6 linked regions of the Rattus norvegicus genome follow. The protein of the gene in region 4 interacts with the protein of the main gene of each other region in a pairwise test. Links are inferred from orthologs where the notes say so. Each region holds a gene or a part of one and is shown on either strand. Other genes may lie near its edges. The genes, in order: Mapk1ip1l, Atpaf2, Khdrbs2, Ewsr1, Fxr2 and Mvk.

What was found.
Region 1: the proteins of Ewsr1 (region 4) and Mapk1ip1l interact in binary tests that used the Homo sapiens proteins (3 or more experiments, as listed by UniProt). The link is inferred for Rattus norvegicus from reciprocal best matches to the Homo sapiens genes EWSR1 and MAPK1IP1L.
Region 2: the proteins of Ewsr1 (region 4) and Atpaf2 interact in binary tests that used the Homo sapiens proteins (3 or more experiments, as listed by UniProt). The two-hybrid records come from large-scale screens. The link is inferred for Rattus norvegicus from reciprocal best matches to the Homo sapiens genes EWSR1 and ATPAF2.
Region 3: the proteins of Ewsr1 (region 4) and Khdrbs2 interact in a two-hybrid assay, tested with the Homo sapiens proteins (2 studies listed by BioGRID and IntAct). The two-hybrid records come from large-scale screens. The link is inferred for Rattus norvegicus from reciprocal best matches to the Homo sapiens genes EWSR1 and KHDRBS2.
Region 5: the proteins of Ewsr1 (region 4) and Fxr2 interact in a two-hybrid assay, tested with the Homo sapiens proteins (2 studies listed by BioGRID and IntAct). The link is inferred for Rattus norvegicus from reciprocal best matches to the Homo sapiens genes EWSR1 and FXR2.
Region 6: the proteins of Ewsr1 (region 4) and Mvk interact in a two-hybrid assay, tested with the Homo sapiens proteins (2 studies listed by BioGRID and IntAct). The two-hybrid records come from large-scale screens. The link is inferred for Rattus norvegicus from reciprocal best matches to the Homo sapiens genes EWSR1 and MVK.

The regions. Positions count from the first base shown.
Region 1 is NC_086033.1:23,023,515-23,027,567, forward strand, and holds the start of Mapk1ip1l (MAPK-interacting and spindle-stabilizing protein-like), read left to right. Parts: upstream 1-1,253; 5' UTR 1,254-1,387; intron 1,388-2,931; exon of another isoform or gene 2,932-3,030; intron 3,031-4,053.
Region 2 is NC_086028.1:45,717,708-45,721,995, reverse strand, and holds the start of Atpaf2 (ATP synthase mitochondrial F1 complex assembly factor 2), read left to right. Parts: upstream 1-1,488; 5' UTR 1,489-1,622; coding exon 1,623-1,782; intron 1,783-4,288. Other genes in the region: Gid4 (glucose-induced degradation protein 4 homolog), read right to left, coding at 672-860. UniProt on the Homo sapiens protein: Plays a role in the assembly of the F1 component of the mitochondrial ATP synthase (ATPase).
Region 3 is NC_086027.1:41,941,838-41,945,869, forward strand, and holds the start of Khdrbs2 (KH domain-containing, RNA-binding, signal transduction-associated protein 2), read left to right. Parts: upstream 1-1,232; 5' UTR 1,233-1,383; coding exon 1,384-1,474; intron 1,475-4,032. UniProt on the Homo sapiens protein: RNA-binding protein that plays a role in the regulation of alternative splicing and influences mRNA splice site selection and exon inclusion. Binds both poly(A) and poly(U) homopolymers. Phosphorylation by PTK6 inhibits its RNA-binding ability.
Region 4 is NC_086032.1:84,184,096-84,187,595, forward strand, and holds part of Ewsr1 (RNA-binding protein EWS), read right to left. Parts: intron 3,235-3,500; coding exon 3,202-3,234; intron 2,818-3,201; coding exon 2,699-2,817; intron 1-2,698. UniProt on the Homo sapiens protein: Binds to ssRNA containing the consensus sequence 5'-AGGUAA-3'. Might normally function as a transcriptional repressor. EWS-fusion-proteins (EFPS) may play a role in the tumorigenic process.
Region 5 is NC_086028.1:54,859,669-54,863,168, forward strand, and holds part of Fxr2 (RNA-binding protein FXR2), read left to right. Parts: intron 1-1,000; coding exon 1,001-1,117; intron 1,118-3,500. UniProt on the Homo sapiens protein: mRNA-binding protein that acts as a regulator of mRNAs translation and/or stability, and which is required for adult hippocampal neurogenesis. Specifically binds to AU-rich elements (AREs) in the 3'-UTR of target mRNAs.
Region 6 is NC_086030.1:47,816,704-47,820,893, reverse strand, and holds the start of Mvk (mevalonate kinase), read left to right. Parts: upstream 1-1,390; 5' UTR 1,391-1,485; intron 1,486-2,468; 5' UTR 2,469-2,482; coding exon 2,483-2,560; intron 2,561-3,471; coding exon 3,472-3,619; intron 3,620-4,190. Other genes in the region: corrinoid adenosyltransferase MMAB, read right to left, coding at 998-1,113. UniProt on the Homo sapiens protein: Catalyzes the phosphorylation of mevalonate to mevalonate 5-phosphate, a key step in isoprenoid and cholesterol biosynthesis.

The sequences.
Region 1 (4,053 bases), on a different chromosome or scaffold from region 4:
CCGGCCCTGCACATCCGGACTCTGACAATGAGCAACCTTTATGAAACTCTAGTTCTGCATATTCGGGCTCTGACAATGAGTAATCTTTATGAAACTCTAGTTCTACACTGACATACATCGAAATATCAAATCAAAAGTCTAGGAAGGAAAAAACTAGAAAGTTTATGTATATGCTCAGACTTTGCTTTTCAGTATGTCAGTTTTGAGTCTCCCAGAAACAGAAGCCAGTCGCAAAAACCAACAACCCTCATCTTAAAGCATTGGTAATGCTGTGACCCTTTAATACTGTTCCTCATGTTGTGGTGACCCCCAACCATAAAAATTAGTTCATGGCCACTCCATAACTTTTTGCTACTGTTTTGAATAATATAAATATCTGATATTCAACCCCTGTGAAAGAGTCGACTCCCAAAGGGTTCATGACCTACAGGTTAAGAACCACTGTTTTCAATTTAAAACTTAAAGGGGAATAAGAGATAGCTTATTCTGGAGCCATTTTGAATGAGGATGACCCCAGAACACACATTTGAGTTACCTCAAATTCTATGTCCCAACCTGAAACCAGTATCAGGACGTTTTTAGCTTTACAGAACAGAGAATGCCATAAACCAAGCAGTTTAAAACACACTGGCGGGTACATTGGAGGATAGATACATCAAGATAGAGGTAGCTTTTCTGTAGATCTAAGACACTATCCGATGACATTCTTGGCTTTTGGATTATCAGAAGCTAGTTGCCTGTTAATAGATTCTAAAAGTTTTTAATCCTTTTGCCACAAGATGTTCGTTTTGACGCGCAGTTGACTGTTCTGGAGGGCTAGCACTAGCCCAAGAAAAGGTAATCGACCTCTGCACCTGCAACATTCCAATCTCTCCACAGTACTGAAATTCTAATTGGCCACTCGGTTTCTGCAGACAGCTTCTTCAAAGGTTTTCATTCTCAAGACCTTTAGAAAGACTTCCCTTTTCCCTCATCTCTTTACCCTCGATTTTAGCTGGACTACTGACAGTCAGCTTGGAGCCTGTCTGCAAAAACCGCTGAACATAGGGAATCCAAAATGCGCTCGCAGCCCCTGGGATGCGGCGAGCATCACCAGCCTAGGGCTTGTCCCATTCCCGCGCTCCACACGGAGGAAACAGTCCAGGCCCCAGCAGCCACGCGGCCCTGCCTGCAGTCCCATGGGCAGCCCGCTGGAGGCGCAGTGCAGCTGGGCGGGGCGGGCGGAAATAACGGGCGGCGGGGCCAGCCTCCCTGCTTCCTTTTCCGGTGCCGGGAGGAGCCGTGTCGGTGCCGCCTCGGTCCATCAGGCCTCCTGCGGTTCTCCATTGCCCGTCTCTCTGGATTCACCGTCGCCACTGTGCCGCGCCTAGGACTCGGATCCTGCCGGGTGAGTCCGCTCGGGCGCTTGCGGTGGGGCGCGAGGCTTGGGGGGAGATGATGCGAAGACGCGGGGTCCCCGGGGGCCTGGAGGCTCTAGAGCTTTCGATGGGGAGGATCCACCGGGGACCAGGCGACCTAGAGGTCTAATGTCGCTCCTGTCGGGTTCCGGGGCGCCCACATCATGCCAGACTTGGGGGGTAGGGCGGGAGCGGGCGACCCTCCCCCACATCCCGCCGGCGTGACCGGCCTGGGGCTGGTTCGCTCCGGTTGATCCCGGATTCCCTTTGTTCCCTTAACCCTAAAGGGCAGCTTGTTTGGCACCCCTTCCACCAATATCCTAGTCACTAATTTCTAATAAAAAACGGCAGTGGAGGGGAGACCCTTACGGGGAGGTCTGGCGCCTGATAATTCTGTGTGACAGGATTCTTGCTGTTCGTAATTACCCATTCGTTAAATGACTACCCGGGACAGAAGATGCCATGGGCTGAGTGACGTTTTCCTTTTGAAGGATCTGGGCTCAGCTAGAACGCTTGAACCATTTTTTTTTTTCCCTCCCTGCCTTGAAAACCGAAAGTAATGTCTTCACTAATCCTGAAGTTGAAGTATCAAAACCAGGCCCCACCGTAGATATGTTACAGCCTACTTCACAGAAATACACACGTGTTGGGCCCCTCCATCCCCCATGTGTTAAAGGCCTGTTCTGAAGCCAAACCCTCATTACCGAGTCGCCTTCAGAAGTCTTTGTTAGTGGGTCTCCTTGGGTGGGGAGGAGGGCAGTTTTCTCATTCGTGGAGTATAGGAGCCATTCTCTAAAACAATTTGCTTCAAAAACTTTTTAATGCAGTTGCAGAAGTTAGAATGTTCCTTTTTTGATTACAGAAGGAATCGGTGCCCAGCTTCTTTCTCCTAACTGAGAGGTTGAGCCTTTGGGGCCAGTAAGCTTAGGAATTCAGCAGTGTTCAGATTCTGTGATTGTTAGTATAGAGGGGCAGTAACAGCCATAGACTCGGGGACTGTTAATCAGTTATTAGTATTTGTACAGGGTGGGCCTGGAGTTAGGTGATAAAGCGCCAGCCTGGCTTGCTACAAGGTCCTAAATTCCCAAAACTTTAGGGGATGAAAAAATGCAAATATCGTAAATATTCAGACTACAGCTGGGGGTGAGTGGAAAACGAAATGGATAAATAATGTCTGGTCAGCTTTTGCCACCAAATAAATACTTAGGAGATTGTATATTTTTTAAAGTTTTCTGCTTTGAAAATAGACAAAGGTTTGGGGCCATGTTGTATCGGTTTTAAAAGCTAATCTTTGTTGAGTTTTTTGCTCAGTGTCAGGCAGTGACTTAAAAGATTTATTTATAGATTTCTATAAGGCTCAGCAAATCTGTGGAAAAATACCCATTTACTCTTACGTATAAGACTCAGAGACCTGGATTTGACGGTAGGCCAGACAGGCAGTCTACTCTGGTAGTCTTTTTGTTCTATGTGTATGAGTGAGAAAGAGGAGCTGGAGAGAGATGGCTCAGGTTGAAAGCCATCGCTGTCCTTGCAGAGGACTGGAGTTCTGTCCCAGCATTCACATGAGGCAGCTCACAGCTTCCTAACTCCAGGGAATTCAGCGCCTCTAGCCTTCTTGGGAACCTGCATGGAGGTGAGCAAACCCATGTATACCTTTTTAAAATGTTAAAAATCACAAGAGGAGAGAATTGGGTATTTGTTGCTCATTCCGTCTTCCAGTTTTAGTTGGGTCAGATGCAGCCCTGTGTGGTTCCACGAATCACCGCCTACTCTAACTTTATGAAGAAACTGAAGTTGACTCGGTCAAGTGAGCTAAAGTATTAGGACTCTTGTCCAAAGCCCTCTGCTAAAACTTCTTACTGCTTTCTGGTATTCCAGCCAACCCGAACTGCTTCTGCTTTTCCACAGACTGTTCTCTCTGGTTTTATACAAACTGATCTTACCCTGGAGCCTGTCTTTAACCTTCTACTCTTACTTTTATTCCAATCTACAGAGACACCACTTCTCAAGAATGCCCATGCCATGCCACCAATTACTCTAAAGCCCAGCAGGATTGGAACTTGTGTTCCAGTGAGTCGGAATAAATTATAAGAGCTTCTACTGTGAACTTTAGGTGTTCAAAAACATTCCAAACTTTTTTAGGTACCCAGTTATAAAATGGAATATAATCTGGTAAATTACCCAGTACTAAATGCTAACAATTCTAATCAGAATCTGCTTTCAATATAATATATGCTAATGTAGTACTCAAAATTAACCTTTAAGCCCCACCCATCCAAGGACCCAGTAACTTCCTGGAATGCTAAGAGTAGTTCTTGGGAAATAATAAAGCCTTGTGGGAAAGAATGGTGCCAGTGAGTTTTGTCCATAAAAACCCCTACAACATGTGTCTCCAGGCCACTGAGCTGGAAGTTCTAGGAAGTGTTCCTGACCAAAGCCCATCGCTTGGTCAGTATTTAATACCTAATAAAGCTTCCTTCAAATTTGGCCCAAAATAGTGTGATTGGTTTTTCGCTGGTGAATCTCAGAATTAACACTATCACACTCACCCATACAAAAATCACAAAAGTCCTGATTTTCCTTAGTTTCTCTGAATTGCTTGCCAATTATCATCAATAACCCAATGGATTTTTAGCTTTCTTAAACTTTGAGGATG
Region 2 (4,288 bases), on a different chromosome or scaffold from region 4:
TCAGGAGACAAGGTCTTAACACTAAGTGGTGCAACTGGAGATATCTGGGTGTGAGTACCTGGTCTTTGGGGAGCCTTAACCTTTGTGGGTTGTTTCGGCCAATGGAGGGAGGTTGCCCACCTCGCCCCGGTCGCCCCGAGAGCAGCGGGCTGACTGAGTTCTCCAAACTCAAAGGAGCAAGGTCCCTGGCACTTTGGATGGAGTTAGGGTCAGAGGAAAAGCTTCATTCTGGGAGAATGTGACACTGGCCGCTACTGAGTTTGGGGCAGCCAATGAAGAGTTTTTCAGGATCCGACAGGGATTGGTGGGAGGGCTGGCTGGTGTAGGGAGGACAGGACAGGACTTGGGAAGAACCGACCCAGGCTAAAGGACGGCTAGTCATGGGGGTGCTTCCGGATCCCAAGCGGGAGAGTCAAAGGCTCCAAGTGTGGGACAGTCTTCGGGGTCTGTCGGAGGCTGGCCGCTACAGGCTCTGAGTCTAGGGGTGGGTTAGGGGTAGGGTTCGAGAGTGTGACATCAGCTGGGCAGGTCCCGGTGGGAGGCGCCGGGTGCAGGAGGCCCCGGCAGTGAGGGCCTGGTCCGCGGCTGAGGGCTCGAGGAGCCCAGGGCAGGCCCGGCCCGTGAGCGCCGCGAGGAGGCCCTCGGGCCGGGCCTTGCCGCCTGGCGCTCACCTGCAGCACCACCTCTACGTCGTACGAGTTCCCCTTGCTCTTCTGGTGGCCACGGAACTTGGAGCCGCTGTAGAGCAAGCTGGTGGCCACGCCGGGCTGCTGGGTGTTGATGGGCGGCGGCGGGATGAGTGAAGCCGCGGATGTGGCTGAGGCACCCGCCGGCGGGGGACACTCGGTGCGGACCGGCATCGCGGGGTCCCCCGGAGCCAGGGCTGGGGGAGGGGGAAGGAACCGCCGCCGCCGCGCGGGAGCCGAAGCTGCGGGGAGGGCGGACCCGGGCGCGCACGCGCGGGGGAGGGGCTGGGGAACCACCCGCCCGCTGCCGGCTGACCGAGCGCTCGTGTCGCCACCTGGACCCCGAGACCTGCAAGCAGGGCCTCCCAGTCCTGAGCTGGGCTCCCCTTCCCACTTGCCCTCGCGGGCTCACACATACACACACACACACGCACACATGCACACACACACGCGCACACACTCACTCATACACACACGCGCGCACACACACATACACACACACACACACACACTCGCGCACACACTCACACACATACACACACACACACACACACACAAACACACACACACTCTACTGCTTCCAATTGGCGCGGACCCGCCGGAGAGGCGGGAGCAAGCTCACGCGGCGCTTCCGCCCATTGGCAGACAGAGAAAGCACGTGGTGCGGTGCGCGAATGGCCCTCTGGGACTTGTAGTTTTCTTCCCGTAGCGCGGCATGGAGGGGGCGGGGCGAGCACGCTTGTGATGCTGATTGACGGGGGCGGGGGCGGTACGCAGGGGGCGCGTGGCTGTGACGGCGTGCCGTAGGTGTCATGACGAAGATGGCGGCGTGCTGAGGAGGCTGAGGGCTTTGAACCCTTGGTGAGAGGTTTCCGTACGGAACCAGCGAGGCGTTTGGGGGACTCTCTTCGCTCTATTCCTGTACTGTTTTCACGTATGGGTCCACCCAAACCCTTGGGCATGATGTGGCGAATCTACCCCCGGCTGAGGGACCGGTGGCGCGGTCTCTTGGACCGGCCTCTCGGTGACCCCACCGTTTCATTGTGGCCGGGGCCAGCTCTGAGGCCTCCAGCCCGGGCCTACGTCCCGCCAACAGGTGAGGCCCGGACTTCTGTTACTTTTTGTTCAGGAGCCAAGTCGGGCTCACCTGGCGGAAGGTTTCCGACGTGCAGTGCGGGGTGACTGAGGCAGGGTTCAGGCCCATGAGAATATTCAGAGTAATAGAACTCTGTTTCAGTTTGAAAAATGACATCCAAACCAGTGCGGGAGTGACTTTAGGGGACACAGCGTTTCCAGGGTAGGAGATATTTGGCTGAGGCTTCTCTCAGTTTCCTTTCTTTTTCTTCGCCTTTTGCTTGTTTCATTTTTCAAGACAGGGTTTCTCAGTGTAGCCCTGGTTGCCCTGGAACTCACTCTATAGATCAGGCTGGCCTCGAACTCTGAGATCCTCCTACCTCTAGTTCCGGAGTACTGGAATTACAGGCGTGCACCTGGTTCAATTTTTTCCTTTTAAAGGGAAACAGGAGTTCGTTGATTTCAGAAAGGAAAATCTAGGCTTTCAATCAGGACTTCCAAGGTCACAGAGCAGACTGGTTGAAGTTGTGGAGGCAAAGATTAGCTTGACTGCTTTTTGTCTCCAGGACCCAGCCAACACAAGACTTGGCACAGAGCAGGCTGGCTTTAAGTCTAACACCCTCACACACTTCCTTAAGGGTTTGCAGGCCCTCTGTCCTAGTGCAGTGCCACGACCTCTGCATTCTCTGCAGCCTTCTCTATAGTGACGCTTTATACCAGGCTTCTTTGACCTACTAAGGACTGTAATCCTGAAAGAAGGTTATCTCATTGCTTCTGGAGTGAGATTTTACCAGTGAGGTTCACTTTGGTGAATGAAAAGTAATGATGGCCTCCCTCCCTTCGTTGGGTTACATGTTTTGTGTTGAGGGCACGTGGTCTCACCTGAATGGTACGCAACATCAGATGCAGGACTCATTATGCTCACTAAACAATAGTTTGCAATACACTGATGTGGGAAGTACGAAGGACTTGAGAGATCACAAGGATGAGTGTGTACAGGGTGATTGAAAGGGCATTCAAACTGGGGCTTGATAGATGAGTAAGAGGTTGCTGGGGGGGTTGGGGATTTAGCTCAGTGGTAGAGCACTTGCCTAGCAAGCGCAAGGCCCTGGGTTCGGTCCCCAGCTCCGAAAAAAAAGAAAAGGAAAAAAAAAAAAAAGAGTTTGCTGGGGGAGGAAAAGGGTGTAGCATGTCCAGAGGTGATGACTGGGTGTTAGAGATCTTGCTGCAACACTGCCCTCATTAGGCAACAATTCCATAGGCAGTTTGGCATTGGCAGAAGAGTACAAACCTTGGGTCTCTTGTTGGCTAAACTTCTGAGGTACTGTGGTCTTGGGCAGGTATGATGTTGTTTTCTTTGGTGATCTGAAGCATGAGATTGCTTTTAAGGATTCTTTAGGCTGTAAATTCCATAATTTTTTGTTTTACTTAGTATGTATATGTATATATGCCCTTGGCATGTGCATGGAGGTCAGAGGACAACTAGCAGGGGTTGGCTGTGGCTTTCAGGGATTGAACTGTGGATATTGGGTTTTGTGGTCAGTGTCTTTACATGGTGAGCCATTTCCATGGTCTATAACCCATAATCTTATATAAGTGGAAGAAGAGTGGATGCAGCAGGGAGCTGATTTTTACTTATCAGGACATAAACGAAGGCCTAAAAATGGGCTAGGAAGAAGCTTAGTGGTGTCACACACATGTATCAGCTGCTTGGGAGTCTGAGATAGGATCACTTGGGGTCATGGGGGAGGGGGAGGAGAACAGGGCTTGACTTCCACATATCTCATTGTGCCTCACTCATACATTCCTATTTTCTTTCACATTTGACTACCTACTATGTGCTAGATAACGCTAAGAGCCAACTGGTAAGTCTGTATACAAAAGAAAAGATGGCAGATCAAGCACTTCCATGTTGGAAAACAAAAAGTGTCTACTCGTTTAAATTAACCCTTTGCCTATTTAGTGACCTCCCGAATGTCTTTGTTTATGCCTTGCCTCCCTAGGATATGTTCTGCTCTCCAAGTCCTCACCAGGTGTGAGATGTTTCTGTGTATCTCTGAAGCATATAAATTATTAAGTCCTTCTTGATGAAGACTCTAGTTGTCAAGGTCTCTGAGGGACAGCCACACCATGGAAGGTTGTGTGGAGAGGAGGGACATTCGAAGGGCTCACTGCAGCATTACAGGAGGAGGTAGTGTGGTGCAGAGACCTTTGTGAGGCTGTGGCCACCCTCCTGTTTTCTGCCCAGAGGGAGATGTAGTTTGGAGAAGCAGCATTTGGGGCAAATTCCCAAAGAAATAAAAGCTTGAAGTCCTGTACAAATTGCCCCTCTGTCCAAGGCAGCTTCTCCAAGTTTCTGCCACTTTAGAGGCATTGCCTGCTTTGCCATCCTCATAGGCGTGTCAGGGACCAGACTTCTACCTGCTTTTGAAATAAAGTTTTATTGGAACACAGCCACATACTCATACATATTGTCTGATTTTGTTATATTGGCCAGAACAACCTAGAGTATTGACCTCTGCTCCAGA
Region 3 (4,032 bases), on a different chromosome or scaffold from region 4:
GAGGGTAGGGTAAACCCTGCCTCCTGAAGCTTCCTCCTGGTTAGATTTGAATTTTCTCCTCAGCTTAGGCACAGCTATGAGGTATGTTACATCAACTACAGAAGCAAAATCTGGTTATCTCTGGGCCCTTGTTGCTCAGTGTTTTTGGGAGCTGGAGTGAGTTATCTACTGGATATGAAACATGATAACTTTTCAAAATGTCACACAAAGTCAACATAATATCCCAAGTTCATCTAAAATAAACCATTACAGGAACACTGTGGATAGAATAAGAGAAGTTAGGAAACGTCCAGTAGGTTTTATATACCCGGAAAGTTACCCAGTTGAACAGGTAGAAGAATTGACAAGGGAATGTTAGGGGAAAGACAACCTCAAAGTGAGAAAAGACTCCTTTCATTTGAAGTATTTAAGGTACAATTCAGGGGTCCCATCTGTAAGGGGAGGAAACATTTTTTCCTCCTTTCTTGGTGATCCTTGGGGGCAAAATGCTCATTTGAATAAAGGTAGGGGAGATATAAAATATTTTAGCAACATTCCCAAGGCAGGGAAAGAGACTCAATCAGGTTTAAAATATGAGAACATCAGAGTGACAGAAGTTAGACACCATCTAGCTTCTTTCATTCACAATCCTCCCCGCTAAGTTTACACAGTGAGCAAATTTTCCACCACAGGGATGGGTGGATCCCTAGAACTAATTCTGTATTACGGTGATGTACACTGGAAGCGTTTTGCTCTAGTATAGAATCCAGGCACTTCTTCATTTGTACATCAGTGGACATCCTTCTGCCTCATGATGTAGGTCATGGGAAACACAGCCCACATTTTGCCTCGGATTTCCAACCCTGCCCATGAGCCTGCGATCCGCCAGGGGAGAGACACCTGTGCTGTGGGGACCCTGGTGAAGTGCTCACTTCTGTGTTCCTGGAGCGCAATTTCTCCCTCTCTCACCATCCTGCCTGCCTAACAGTCAGCCCCTACTCCACAGCACTGGCCAGGCCTGAGAACCGGGACCGCAAAGGCGGCCTGGAGAGTGCTCCTGCACTTCGTACACCCCTCCCCTCCGCAGCAGCCTCCTGCCACTCAGGCGACTCGACGTGAGGCCCCGGCCAATGATAGTCCACCGCCTCCGCGGGCGCCCCGCCCCCGGACCCCGCTTCCAATAGGAGGCTGGCGGGGGCGGGCCGCGCGGGCATCCTCTCCAGCTGAGGCCGCGGCCGGAGCCAGGCTGGGGCGCGGGAGAGGCAGGTACCAGCGCGGTCTGCGCAGCCCGAGGCGCTAGAGCTGCGCTCACCGCAGGAAGGACGGTTCCTGGGGGAACCAGGGACCGAGGCGTCCGAGCAGGCGGGATTTGCGCCTGGCCGGCCACGGTCCGAAGTCCGCGCTATGGGAGAAGAGAAATACTTGCCTGAGCTGATGGCAGAGAAGGATAGCCTTGATCCATCTTTTGTGCACGCGTCGCGCCTTCTGGCGGAAGGTAGGACCGGCCCCGGCGACCGCCAGCCCCGACAGGGCGAAGTTGGGGAGGGCGAGCGCTCCGCTGGGTAGAAACTGTCTCTGAGAGCTGCTTCCGAATGCTGGAGCGCAGCGCTGCTGGCCAGGCTCTTCCGAGGCTCAATTAGCCCTGAGGTCTAATGGCAGGGTGGTGCGACCTGTTAGGGTCCTGGACAGGGAAACCAGCAAGTGTCAGGTGGCTCATCGGTACCTTTTCACTTTGCAGAAGACAGCAAAAGCAGTACAGGAGTAAATGAGATCCGTGGAGTGTTCTGAGAGCATCTTGGTCACAGATCAGCGTTATTTATTTATTGTATTTTTTTCCTTCTATGTTTCGAAGTGATTTTAATACCCTTTAATTGCTATTTCCCCCTGGAAAGTCTTAGAATTAATCAACAGTAAAGTATGCATGTTCGTATATTTATGTGAGCATGGTAAGCAGAGGCTAAAGTGCTTATAAACGTATTCGAAACGTGATGGCTGGGTAGTATGCAAGATATTGGTTCCTCGGAACGCTCCATAATTGACCAACTGGTTTTTAAACCAGGTGTGCGTTTTCTTTTGTGTACCTGTGTTGTAGCGGAGATTCGTTTCCCAGAGGAACATCTATGTCTTGCCTTTTGCATTGCTTTGAGAGGTCGTTTGAGAAAAGGTGCACATGAAAACTTCTCCATCAGAAATATTAACCCCAATTATTCCATCTATGTGAAGCAATGGTAGCAAGTGAAGTCATCTCTGGTACCTGGTACCCTGCACTCTCCAATTTAACACGACTGCTGAATTTTTGGATGAACGTTTCGTTAGTGATGAAGTGCTTCCTCCTCAGACTGGCTACCCTGCAGCTTAGGATCTTGAGGTCTTACCCACTAGAAGAATCAGTGACATCTTTCTCTCTTCCAGCTCCTCAGCATTAAAATACATTTGAGATTTAGTTGTGCATCTTAGGAAAAAATTTACTCCTCAGATGATTCAGAGACATTAGATTTACTTTGGCATTTTTAGCGGTTGCTATTTATTATAACCCGTAATAACAAAGTATCTCGTGAAAGACTGCCAGGAAAAATGTGGAAGATTCTAAATACTCACACTGTTTTCACGGGGAGAAGCTGGCTTTGTAGTTAGGCAGTGAAATGCAACCCTGCATACCACAACCTAATAATCAAATGATAATAAATGAAACTGAAAAACTAAAGTCATGAACGACGCTCTTCTCTGCCGTTGGAGAACAACGGCTGCATATCGGAAGATATTGACTCAATAAACATGGACAGATTAAAACTGTATTCTTTGATTGTTTGCTTCACTCCGTTCTTCAGAAGTGTTTCCATTCAATGAGCAATGAAAACAGATTCATAATCTTCTCTGACCTGATAACCGGAGCTCTCTTTGGGACAGAGGGTTCAATAATTGGCCCATCGGTTATTAATGTGTATTAATTGTACTTTTAAAACTTACAGAACTAAAAGATGTAGATAAAAGCCTTACTAGAGTGAGGTGTGGTGCATATTCTTGACCAGTGAAACAGTTAAGAGACCACTAAGTATCTGCTTTCCTGCTGTTTCTTTCTTTCCCAAACACAAGGTTGCTTGAGACTTAGGAAAATTGTTCTAATGCACCTTGTAATTTAATTTTTTCCCAGCAGGGGGAAGCATGGCCTGCTTTTGTAATGGGTTATTTTAAAAAAGCTCCTGGCTAGAAAAGCATCTCACTAAGAAACAAAGAGGGTGCCTAAATTTCAGAGAATTCCTAATGAGAAAAGAGAACAAGAGGAGGAAAGAGGTGGCGGCGGTAATCCTAGAGTAGTCAGATAGTTCCATAAAAAGACGTCCAGGGCCCACATCAGTTCTGTAACTCTACCCGCCTCTTTACACATGCTCACTAGAGTGAAAGGTGAGTGTGCTTTGGAGTCTCAGCGAATCATAATGCACGTGTTGCATTATAGATTTTTTTCCATTGTCTTCTCAAAGGCTATTTGTGAAGGTTTCTAGGATCACCGTAGAGATTTTATTTCTCATACCTGGAAACGTTGCATTCGAAGGCATTGTCTATAAATAAACTTGACACACATACTCCAAGGGAAGGAAGGTGCACACTGGAGTGCACGTCAGCAGTGCTGTGCAGACAGTCTTGAGACTGAGGTGGGCAATAAAAATGATCCAGATGATTCCATTCTTTGGGATGAGTTTCTAGAAGCACTGAGCTCTCACAGTGCCTTACTTTGCCTTCTCCTTAGTGACAGACACAAACCTCTCCTCACTTGTGCCTGCTTCATTTAGTGTGCAAGGCTGTGGGCTGCAAATGACCTCTTTTGGTTGTTTTTATTGTATTTCAGTCCATTTGTTTCTGGTTTGTGTTTTCAGTAGGGGTCATATTTAAAAAAATTAAAAACAAATAATTTGTGATTTTGACTGTTAGTCATGGCAGATCTTGAATAATATGGGTTAAAGGTTTTGCATAATGCATTTGATTAAAATAACTTCCATACTGTAGTTACAGTTTTATGTAGTTAGCCGTTTGTTACGGAAGACGTTTCTGAATCTG
Region 4 (3,500 bases):
CCAGCCCCATATGAACGAGGACCTGCATTTTAAAATCTCTACTTTTTGTGAATGAGCATTCTAACAACATGTGTCTATATACCGCTTATGTGCTGGATCTCTTGGAACTGAATCCAGGTCCTCTGAAAAGCAACCAATACCCTTAACCCCTATGCAACCTCTCTGTCCACAAGGAAGCAAACAGACGTGATGGCAAACTCCTGACTTGGCCAGAGCACACCCCAATTGATAGTACAACTCTATGTGCACGAACGCATGAGTCTGCCTCTCTTCCTAAACAACACACACACACACACACAGTGGCTGGGTGATTTGGGACACATTTTTAATCGTAGCACTCAGACGTTAGAGGAAAGGAGAATCTTGAGTTTCAAGAGAGATGGCTCAGCAGTTAAGAGCACTGGCTACTTTTCCAGAGGACCCAAGTTCAATTCCCAGCAACCACATGAAGGCTCATAACCATCTGTAATTGGATCTGATGCCCACTTCTGGCATGCAGGCAGAACATTATACAGACTAAATAAATCTTAAATCCCCCAAAACACCCCCCACCCCTATAACTAAACAAACCAAAACTAGCTAGACATGGTCGCTCAAGCACATAACCCCAGCACTTGGGATGTAGGAGTAGGAAGAGTAAGTTTAGTTCAAGGCCACCGTGGGAAGTAAGTTTAAGGTCCAAGCAGATTACACACAAAGAGGCTAACAAGGGGGCCCAGCAGGTAAAGGCACAGGCTGAAAGTCTGCAACCTGAGTTGGATCTCCAGCAGAGTAGAACTAACTGTTCTGCAAGTTGTCCCTTGACATCTTTTCTTTTTTTTAAAAAGAATTAATGTATGTGAGTACTCTGGAGCTGTCTTCAGACACACCAGAAGAGGGCATCGGATCCTATTACAGATGGCTGTGAGCCACCAGGTAGTTGCTGGGAATTGGAACTTAGGACCTTTGGAAGAGCAGTCAGTGCTCTTAACCACTGAGCCATCCCTCCAGTCCAAGATACACTTTTTCTAAATTAATAACTGAACAAAAATAATCACCCTCCCTCCTCCCCGATTTCCCTGTGTGGCCCTAGTTTGTCCTGGAACATGCTTATAGACTAGGCTGTCCTAAACTTAAGAGATCTACTTGCCTCTGTCTCCTTAGGCATGCACATCACACCCAGCCAATAATCAACATCTTAAATATAAAATACAAACGTAGGAATTTGGGGACCACTTTTCCCCAGAGTGGGTAAGGCAACAGAAAATCATTAACAGTACATGTTAAATGTGTGTGCATGCACAAAGAGCCAGAGAAAAAATCTTACAGAACCCATGGGCATTCTAGCACAGGATCTATGTTCAGTCTGCAGTACTGAGGTCAGACTTTTCAACTGCCTATAGCGCCAGTTTCATGACATCTGACACCCTCTTCTGGCCTCCTTGGGTGCCCACACCCATGTGGTACGGACATAAACTTAAGAGACACATAAACAGAAAGTATAATTTTAAAAGCCAACTGAACACCTTTAAGGCTTTAATATCAGAAAACATTATTTATTCTCAAACTGCATTATAAATTGTTAACCTGTATAGAGGACTGGTCACACCTGCCTCTACATCAATGCATGGATCCCACACCAGGGAAGACCAGACTCTCACAAGTTCCCTCTGACCTCCAGAGCTACTCTGTGCATCACACGCACAGGCCTGCCCACAAAACATGGGAGTTTTAAGATAACTGTAAAGAGAAAAAAGCAGAAGAACCAGACTTCCTGGGAATGAAGACTCAGGTAAACCTTTCAACAAAATGTCACAACAGGCCTGTAAACAGGGAAAAGAAAAACAAGCTAGCAAACAATAGGTGTGTCATCAAACCAAGGAGCAGGTGACCTCTGTAAGCTCCAGGCCAGCTAGAGCTACAGGATGAGGCCCTTTCTCAAAGGAAACTCCTAAAGCTCTGCTTCTCTGCCTTTTTATTCCCTCCCTCCCTCCCTCCCTCCCTCCCTCCCTCAGTGTTGGCATCAAAGGCACACACTAACCCCTCTGGCAAACCTTAGCCCTTATGCTAGGAAATCAATCTATAAAGATGTAAATGTCCCTCTTCTCTACATCACACAACGTGTTTTAGTGTTTTTTGTAATTATTTAAATTAAGTGATAATTTGGGGAAAAAAAGTCTCCAAGATATTAAGCATTCAGGGAATATTAAGAAAAATCACCTTTCCTCTTCATAACAGAAAAAGACAAGTTTATTTCTGAGAGAACAGCAGACTCAGTAACAGAATCACCAGCTGCCTAGCATTCTTCATCTACAAACATCTGGCTAAAGCTGGGTATGGTACACAAGACTGTAAACTGAGCATTTTGGGGTGGGGGATCGGGTAATCCTTTGCTACATGGCCAGATCGCATGAGATCTTGTTTTAAAAAAAAAAAAAAAAAAAAAAAAAAAAAAAAAAAAAAAACAGTAACAACCCAGATAACAAGGGGGCGGGTATTTATCTTGTAGTTCAACGCTCTTATCGAATGCATACCAGGCAGGTGCTCCACCACTAGCTCCTCCCAGCCCTCACACAGGGCTTGAATTAAAGAGTGTTTTAAGGAGTGAACGCAAGATGTCAACGAAACAGTCAAGGAACAATTCTCAGCACAGTCCAAGCATCTCAAATATGTTCCGTGGACCCAATTTCTGTTAGATCACCCAATCACTATCACTCACCTTGACAACCCCACACTGCTTAAAGAAGTCTGCCAGATCATCCAGAGTCACACTGTCATTTAATCCTTGCACATAAACTGCACTGTTGTCAGAGTCTTCATCGGGATCTATAGGAAGGCCTTCCAGAGAAAATGAGATAAAACACAATTACTGCTCTGAATTAACAGTGGCTTCTTTTTTTGGAGCTAGGCTGGCCTCAAACTTCTAATTATTTTTCAACCCCAGACACAGCCCATCAGGCCCAGATAATAATAAAGGCTTCTGGTCCAATCGGCCATTATTATCAAACAGTATTCATCACAATGGCAAGAGAATGAGCCGCACACTATACTGATAATAAGACGAAGTTTTTTGATTACTTTAAAACAATTTAAAGGAAGTCCCAAACTCCCCCCACCCCCAATGGGTCAGTGTACTGGTATCAGTCTGCTGAGCTGCTGGACTCTTGCTTCTATGGCATTCATTCAAAACAGCTCAGTTAAAGTTCAAGAACTTAAAGTTACCTAGATCGAGATCTGGTCCTTCATCCATGGGTCCTGCCAACCAGGAAAGATCATATAAAATATTGTTAGTGCAAGCCTTGCAAGCTACAAACCTTACAAACACACACAGCTATCTACTACACCACCATTTGATGGGGACTCATTAATTCAAAATGACCCGCACTGCTAAAATGGAGCAGTGGCCCTTTAGCGTTTGTGAGTTTGCTAGGGTTTTTTTTCCCTTTGCTCGTTTGTTTCTAAACCATTAACCAAATACACTCTCAATGCTTCATGTGCCGAATTAGTGTTAAATTAAATTC
Region 5 (3,500 bases), on a different chromosome or scaffold from region 4:
TGTCAGTATTTAGCTATTCAGTTTCTATGTGACTAACAATGGTTTTCACGTAGCCTACCTCATTTCTTTTATGTTTCCTTTTTTTTTTCTTCTTCTTCTTCTTTTTTCCCTTTTCTTTTTTTTCGGAGCTGGGGACCGAACCCAAGGCCTTGTGCTTGCTAGGCAAGCGCTCTACCACTGAGCTAAATCCCCAACCCCTTATGTTTCCTTTGAGACAAGTTTACTCTTCTTGTTTACTCTTGGCTGGCCTGTTACTCACTAAAGCTGCCCTTGAGTTTGTGACACTTTTCCTGCTTTACCTTCCCTAGTTTTGAGGTAGGCATGACCACCTTTTTTTCCCCTTTTTTCTATTTTTCCTTTTAAGAATATATACATCATTTTCTGTAGGTCAGAAGAGGTCACCAGATGTCATAGGTTGAACTCAGGACCTCTGGAAGAGCAGTCAGTGCTCTTAACCACTGAGCCATCCCTTCAGCCCATGCTACCACCTTATTTTAAACTTCATTTCTTGCCAGGTGGTGATGGTGTACGCCTTTAATCCCAACACTCAGGAAGCAGGCAGAGGCAGGCGGATCTCTGTGAGTTCAAGGCCAGCCTGGTCTACAGAGAGTTCCAGGACAGCCACGGCTACACAGGGAAAACCCTGTCTTGAAAAACAAACAAAAATCCAACTTCATTTCTTGACACCTGCCCTTTTTCAGGGACTCTGACATTCTGATGCCAAGTCCCTAATGCTTCCCTGGTGTGTATTTTGCTTTTTTTTTTTTTTTTTTTTTATTTTATGTGTGTTGCTGGTTTGCCTAGATGTGTGTCTGCGTGAGGGTGTCCGATCTCTTGGAATTGAAGTTACAGACAAGTGAACTGCCATGTAGGTGCTTAGAATTGCACCTAGCTCCTCTGCCAAAGCAGTCAGTTCTCTTAACCTCTAAGCCACTTGTCTTAGGGTTCCGTCTCTGAGCCATGTATTTTGCTTTTATACATCCTGTTCATCATTCCTCAGTCAACCACAGAAGCCCCTGTGAAGAGGGCATCTTTGCTGGGTGACATGCATTTCCGAAGCCTTCGTACCAAATTGCTGCTCATGTCCCGCAATGAAGAAGCTACTAAGCACCTAGAGGTAAGTTTTGGCTGCTGTTTCTCATAATAATAATAATAAAATGTTCTTTCCTTTTTCTTTTCCTTTTGTTTTTGAAACACATACACAAAAGCTGCTAGGCCATTAATCCTATTTTATCTCATAATTTTCAGAGGACAGTATTCTATCATGGTTTTGGTATGGTTTTAAAAAGTTTGATTTTGTTTCTGTTGTAGGTTTTTGTTTTTGAGAGATTCTCTGTATAGCCCTGACTGTCCTAGAACTCAAAAGAAATCCACATGTCTCTGACCCTGGAGTGCTGAGATTAATGGCATGTACTACCACTGCCCAGCAATGTTGCTTTGTAACAGGGTCTCACTGGTCTCCTGGCCTAGAATTCTTAGTGTTTTACTGCTGAGAACAGACACCATGACCAAAACAACTCATACAAGGACAAAATTTAACTGGGGCTGGCTTCCAGGTTTAGAGGTTCAGTCCATTATCATCAAGGCTGGAACATGGCAGTGTCCAGGCAGACATGGTGCAGGGGGAGCTGAGAGTTCATCTTCATCTGAAGGCTGCTAGTGGAGGGAAGACTGGCTTTCAGGCAGCTAGGAAGAAGCCCACGACATACCCCACTCCAAGCAAGACTACACTTCTTTTTTTTTTTGGTTCTTTTTTTCGGAGCTGGGGACCGAACCCAGGGCCTTGCGCTTCCTAGGTAAGCGCTCTACCACTGAGCTAAATCCCCAGCCCCAAGACTACACTTCTAAAAAATTTTTTTTTTTCCCTAGAGCTGGGGACCAAACCCAGGGCCTTGTGCTTGCTAAGCAAGTGCTCTACCACGCTAAATCCCCAACCCCAAGGCTACACTCCTAATAGGGTGGCCACTCCCTGCCAGAGCATATACAAACTGTCACATTTCCACTCCCTGGCCCCATAGGCTTGTTCAAACACATGAGTCTTTGGGGGTCATACCTACACATAGCATAATAAAAGATACATTTAGGGGGTTGGGGATTTAGCTCAGTGGTAGAGCGCTTGCCTAGCAAGCGCAAGGCCCTGAGTTCAGTCCCCACCTCCGAAAAAAAAAATACATTTAGTCCAACTTCCAAAGTCCCCATAGTCTATAGCAGTCTCAACAGTGTTAAAAGTCCAAAGTTCAAGGTCTCTTCTGAGATTTATCCACTCACTTAACCTTAATCCCCAAAGAAAGACTGGAAATGAGCCAGGCAAACTCCAAACCCTGCATCTCCATGTCTGATCTCAATGTGGTCTTCAGATCTCCAACTCCTTTTCATCTTTGTTGACTGCAACAAACTTCTTTCTCCTGGGCTGGTTCCATTCCCTGTTAGCAGCTTTCCTCAGCAGATAGCCCATGGCTCTGGCTCTCTAACGCCCCATCCATTACCAAGTACAGCTTTGAGGTACAACCTTGGCTATCTCTAGAATATAGCTTCTTTGTGCTCTCAGAAAACACTCCCCAGAAGATTTCACCTCAGTGATGCTGGTCTCCTTCCTATCTATCTATCTATCTATCTATCTATCTATCTATCTATCTCTATCTATCCATTCATTCACTCACTCACTCACTCATTCATTCAAAGTACACTGTAGCTAGGTAGCTTGCTTGCTTCTTTCTTTCTCTTTCTTTCAAGTACACTGTAGCTGTCTTCAGACACGCCAGAAGAGGGCATCAGATCCCATTACAGATGGTTGTGAGCCACCATGTGGCTGCTGGGAATTGAACTCAGGACCTCTGGAAGAATAGCTAATGCTCTTTTTTTTTTTTTTTTTTTTTTGGAGCTGGGGACCGAACCCAGGGCCTTGCGCTTCCAAGGTAAGCGCTCTACCACTGAGCTAAATCCCCAGCCCACTAATGCTCTTAACCATTGAGCCATCTCTCCGGCCTAGTGCTGGTCTCTTCTTAGTCACCTCTAATTTCTTAGTTCTAGCTAACCAGCATCAATTTCCCAGTAGTTTCCTCTTGACTACAAAGCCAGATACATATGACTGAAGTTGCCAAAGTTCTGCTGCTTGCTGGGGCTGAAACATGGCCCCCTTGTTCTGTTACATCATCACCATCACCAGCTTTTGGTTTTCTAACTTCTTTTTTTTTTTTTTTTTTTTAAGATTTATTTATTATATATATAAGTACACTGTAGCTGTCTTCAGACACACCAGTAGAGGGCATCTGATCCCATTACAGATGGTTGTGAGCCACCATGTGGTTGCAGGGATTTGAATTCAGGACCTCTGGAAGAGTAGTCAGTGCTCTTAACCACTGAGCCATCTCTCCAGCCCAGGAACTTGCTCTGTAGATTGATCTTGAACTCAGATCTCCTGGGATTAAAGGCGTGTACCACCATGCCTGAACCTAAACTTAGCTGGGGTGGGATCTTGTCCCAAGGTCACCCACTCCCTT
Region 6 (4,190 bases), on a different chromosome or scaffold from region 4:
ATCTCTTGTCAGCCATTTCCCCGCTGTCCCTTCTAGACAGCTTCTTGTCCCTGTCTCTACCCTTACAGTGGGTGCTGTAGTGCATGTCTCAATGAAGATGCTTCACAAATACTGGCTAAAAGGACTATCCAATCACTCCACGTAGCCCACGCTCCACAGTGGACTAAAGTCACTAGCTCCTCGAACTGCTCTTCAGCTTCTCCTTTGAGGAAACTGGAGCCCACAAAGATTCAGCCTCCTAGATCTCCAGGAAGAGACTGGGCTGGGATTCACATCCAAAACTCTTCTACTGTAAACCTGACCTGGACCATTAGCCTCCCCAAACTCTTGCTTCTCGTCTACCCTAACCCCAACCCTCTACCACAAAGTTAGGGCTTCTTGGGGAAAGAAAACCAGGCCACTTGCATTTTCTAAGGTGTTGAGTGTCAAGGCACTGTCAAAATGGAATTTCAAAAATGCTGTTTTCACTTAAAAACTTTTTTTTTTTTGAGGCCTGAGCCTGAACCCTAGCCTTTAGGCAAGCTAGGCAAACAGTGTACCACCAGGCCACATCCCCAGTTCTTGCTCCAGAGCCCTCAGGAGTCTTCCATTTTCAAACAGTGCACAGCTTAGATGTATAGCTTAAAAGTAAAATGTGAATTCTCAAGGTTGTTGGAAAGTCAGAGGACTGGAGCGGAAATGTTGATTATGAGCTCATGGTAATCTGTAAATCCTGATGCAAGTTTCAAAGTGTTACCATGTCTTCCTGGTATCTTAATTGTAATCCAAATAAACTGCCTGGGAGGCTGGACAAAACCCACAAAGACATCCCCTGCCCCGACTGACTCCTGCTGGACTGCCTTAAAACTTGTGCAGGAAATCCTGACCTCTGACGCCATGCTGACCCCGATGACGTCAGGCCACAGAGAACACGTCATCAGTGTGACATGCCCACGGAAACAAAATAACTATTCTCCTCACACCTCGTGTTGAGTTACTCTCCCAGCCTGAAACTCACCTGTCCCCGTCTTCCCCACCCTGAGGGCCAAAGCTCTGGAAACGGGGACACAGCAGCCTGCACCCGCCGAGACGCCCGCGCAGGCCGAGGCGGCCCCCAAAGGTCCACACAGCCATGAGTACGGTAACGCGTCCAGGGCTGACCCAACCAGGCACCCGTCCAGGCCCGCGGAGGACTCCGCCCCGCAGCCGGCCGCGCCACCTCTCAATGGCTGTTTCCTATTGGCCTGTGGCACTCGCACCAGGGCGGGGCAACCCCCGGGACTTGTTTCCCATTGGATGACGATTAGAAAGAGGCGGGGCAATCTCCGTTTGTTTGAAATTCCCATTGGTCAATGTTCGACCCAATCCGTAAAGGGAACCTCGACTCAAGCTCTCTGATTGGCCGGAGGAAGACACGCCTGCCTCCTTGGGGCTCTGCCCTTTGATATGGAGAAGACCGGGAGCTACTGCCGGAGTTTCGGCTCACCTGGGCGCTGGCCGGGGCAGGTGAGAGGCCTGGACTGCGGGTTGGGTGATGTGAGGGTTGGGTCCCGGACACCCTGGGCCGGGCGCCGCGGTCCTCTGTCTTAGTTTTCTCGATCCCAGCGGTCGGCGACCTCAGGTCGGACAGTTCCCGGTAGACTGGGGTCTCGGTGGCTACTGAGTATGCAGTGGGGTGGCCAGTGCAAGGGAGTTCCAGTGAAGCCTTGAACCGGGTGACTTTGCGTTATTTATAACAATGTAAAATGCGTGCACCCATAAATCCAGCAAAAGCACTTGGTGAGACTCTGCCTTGCACAAGTTATTGTTTAAATGTGCAACACGAGGTGTAACAGGTAAGCCCCGCAGCCTTGTGTATAACTGTGACAGGTTGGTTGTGGCCTCATGTCCTGGAAGAATTCTTTCTTTTGCAAGATTTTATGTAAACCTCGCGTTTCCATACCATCAAACGCATAACCGCCCTCATGTTAGGCAAGCATTCCACGACTGAGCCGTGCACTCGGAGGTCATGTCAGTTTCTACCAGCAGCAGGGATAGTCCCGTCATTACCTTGTAGCTCTCTGTGGTATAGATGCTACTTTGCCAGACTGACAGGTCCTGCTGCTTCTGGTCCTTTGAATCAGTCTTCAGTGTTGTCTCTATTAGCTGATTTGTGGGAAACAGATTCATGGCAGTTTTCCTAAGACATGCTGGGGACGGAAGGGCCAGTGTCTGAATCCAGATTTTTTTCCATTGTCCAGCTGACTGGCTCACTGCCCTGTCATCCTGGTACATAGTTCTGGATGGTAGTTCCACGAAGAGACAGAGTTTCTCTATATGGCGCTGGCTGTCCTGTAACTCACACTGTAGACTAGGCTGGCCTCCAACCCCCAAAGAGATCCACCTGCCTCTGCCTCTTGAGTGCTGGGATTAAAGGTGTGGACCTTCCTGGTGTTTGTAGCTAACATCTAGGAAACTTTGTTTTTCCTCTCTGCTGCTTTTTCTTTCAGGAGTCTCAGGAGCCATGTTGTCAGAAGTCCTGCTGGTGTCTGCTCCAGGGAAAGTCATTCTCCATGGAGAACATGCTGTGGTCCATGGCAAGGTAAAAACTCCCCAGAGATGGGCTGGAGAGACAGCTCAGTGGTTAAGAGCACCGACTGCTCTTCCAGAGGTCCTGAGTTCAAGTCCCAGCAACCACGTGGTGGCTCACAATCATCTGTAATGGGATCTGATGCCCTCTTGTGGTGTGTCTGAAGACAGTGACAGTGTACTCACATACATAAGATAAATAAATAAATCATTAAAAAACAAAAACAGGGGGTTGGGGATTTAGCTCAGTGGTAGAGCGCTTGCCTAGCAAGCGCAAGGCCCTGGGTTCGGTCCCCAGCTCCGGGAAAAAAAAAACCTACAGGTTGGGTGGAATCACCCAGGAAGTGAGTGTTGGTGGAGGGGGAAGAGCTTAGAGAACTGGACTCTGGGAACATTGCAGTGTTGAGGAATTGGAAAGATGGTGTGGTAGAAGTGTTGCATACTTGTATTATCTCATTTAAACCTCGGCCCTAACCCAGGTCGGATGTGTAGTCTTCTATTTTGTAGATAAAGCTGAGGCTTAGGAGAGAGTTGGTAACTTGACCAAGCACATTACACCCTCTCCAACCCTCATCCTTTACGGTCTTGTGTGTGTGCGTGCGTGCGGGTGTGTGTGTGTGTCTGTGTCTGTGTCTGTGTGTCTGTCTGTCTGTCTGTCTGTCTGTCTAGGCTAAGAGACAACCTGAGGTCTGTCTGCCTGTCTAGGCTAAGAGACAACCTGAGGTATCATTCCTCAGGAGGCACTGTTTACCTCGGATTTTGAGCCAGCCCTTCTCATAATCTTACATGAGTTTGTTGGGATGGGGGAGGGTAGGCGGCCAGCAACCCCCCCAGGATCCTCCCATCTTTACTTCCAGAACGTATGGCCGCTGGCCCGTGAGCCCCTCACCTTCAGGCTTACCAGTTTTGCCCTTCATTTTGCAGGTAGCTCTGGCGGTGGCCTTGAACTTGAGAACATTTCTCGTGCTGCGACCGCAGAGCAATGGGAAAGTGAGCCTCAATTTACCAAACGTCGGTATTAAGCAGGTCTGGGATGTGGCCACACTTCAGCTGCTGGACACAGGCTTTCTTGGTTAGTACAAAGAGGGGGAGCCTGGTATGACAAGAGCCTGGCCCCTGAAGGAAGTGGGGAAGGGGTGACAGACAGAGTGGTTACTTCAGGCTGCTTGTGGGGAGCCAGAAAACGATGTTGTCCTCCGACCCCAGAAAATTGGCTTCATTCACTTCGTACAGGACTTAATTTTGTTTGTTTGTGATACCAGACCTCACAGAGATCTGCCTGCCTCTTTCTCTCAAGTGCATGCTCCACCACACCTAGCTAGTTTGTTTTAAACATGTAGAACTGTGCCCTGGATCTCTGTGGACTGCTGTGTGTGGATCTTCCAGGCTCACCGTAGAGTAAAAATGTTAAGCTGTTGAGTTAGTTACCCTTCTTGTTGCTATGACAAAGGCAACTTGAGTATGTATTGTGGCTCTCGGTTTGAGCCACATAGTCCATTGGGCTCCTGGCAGGAGTGTAAGGTACCTGGTCACATTCCCTCTGTAGTCAGGAAGCAGAGAGAGAAGAATGGCTCTACTCCTCCCCGTTATTCAGTCTAGAACTCCGGGGATGGTGCTATACACACCCAGAGTGGGTCTTCCTA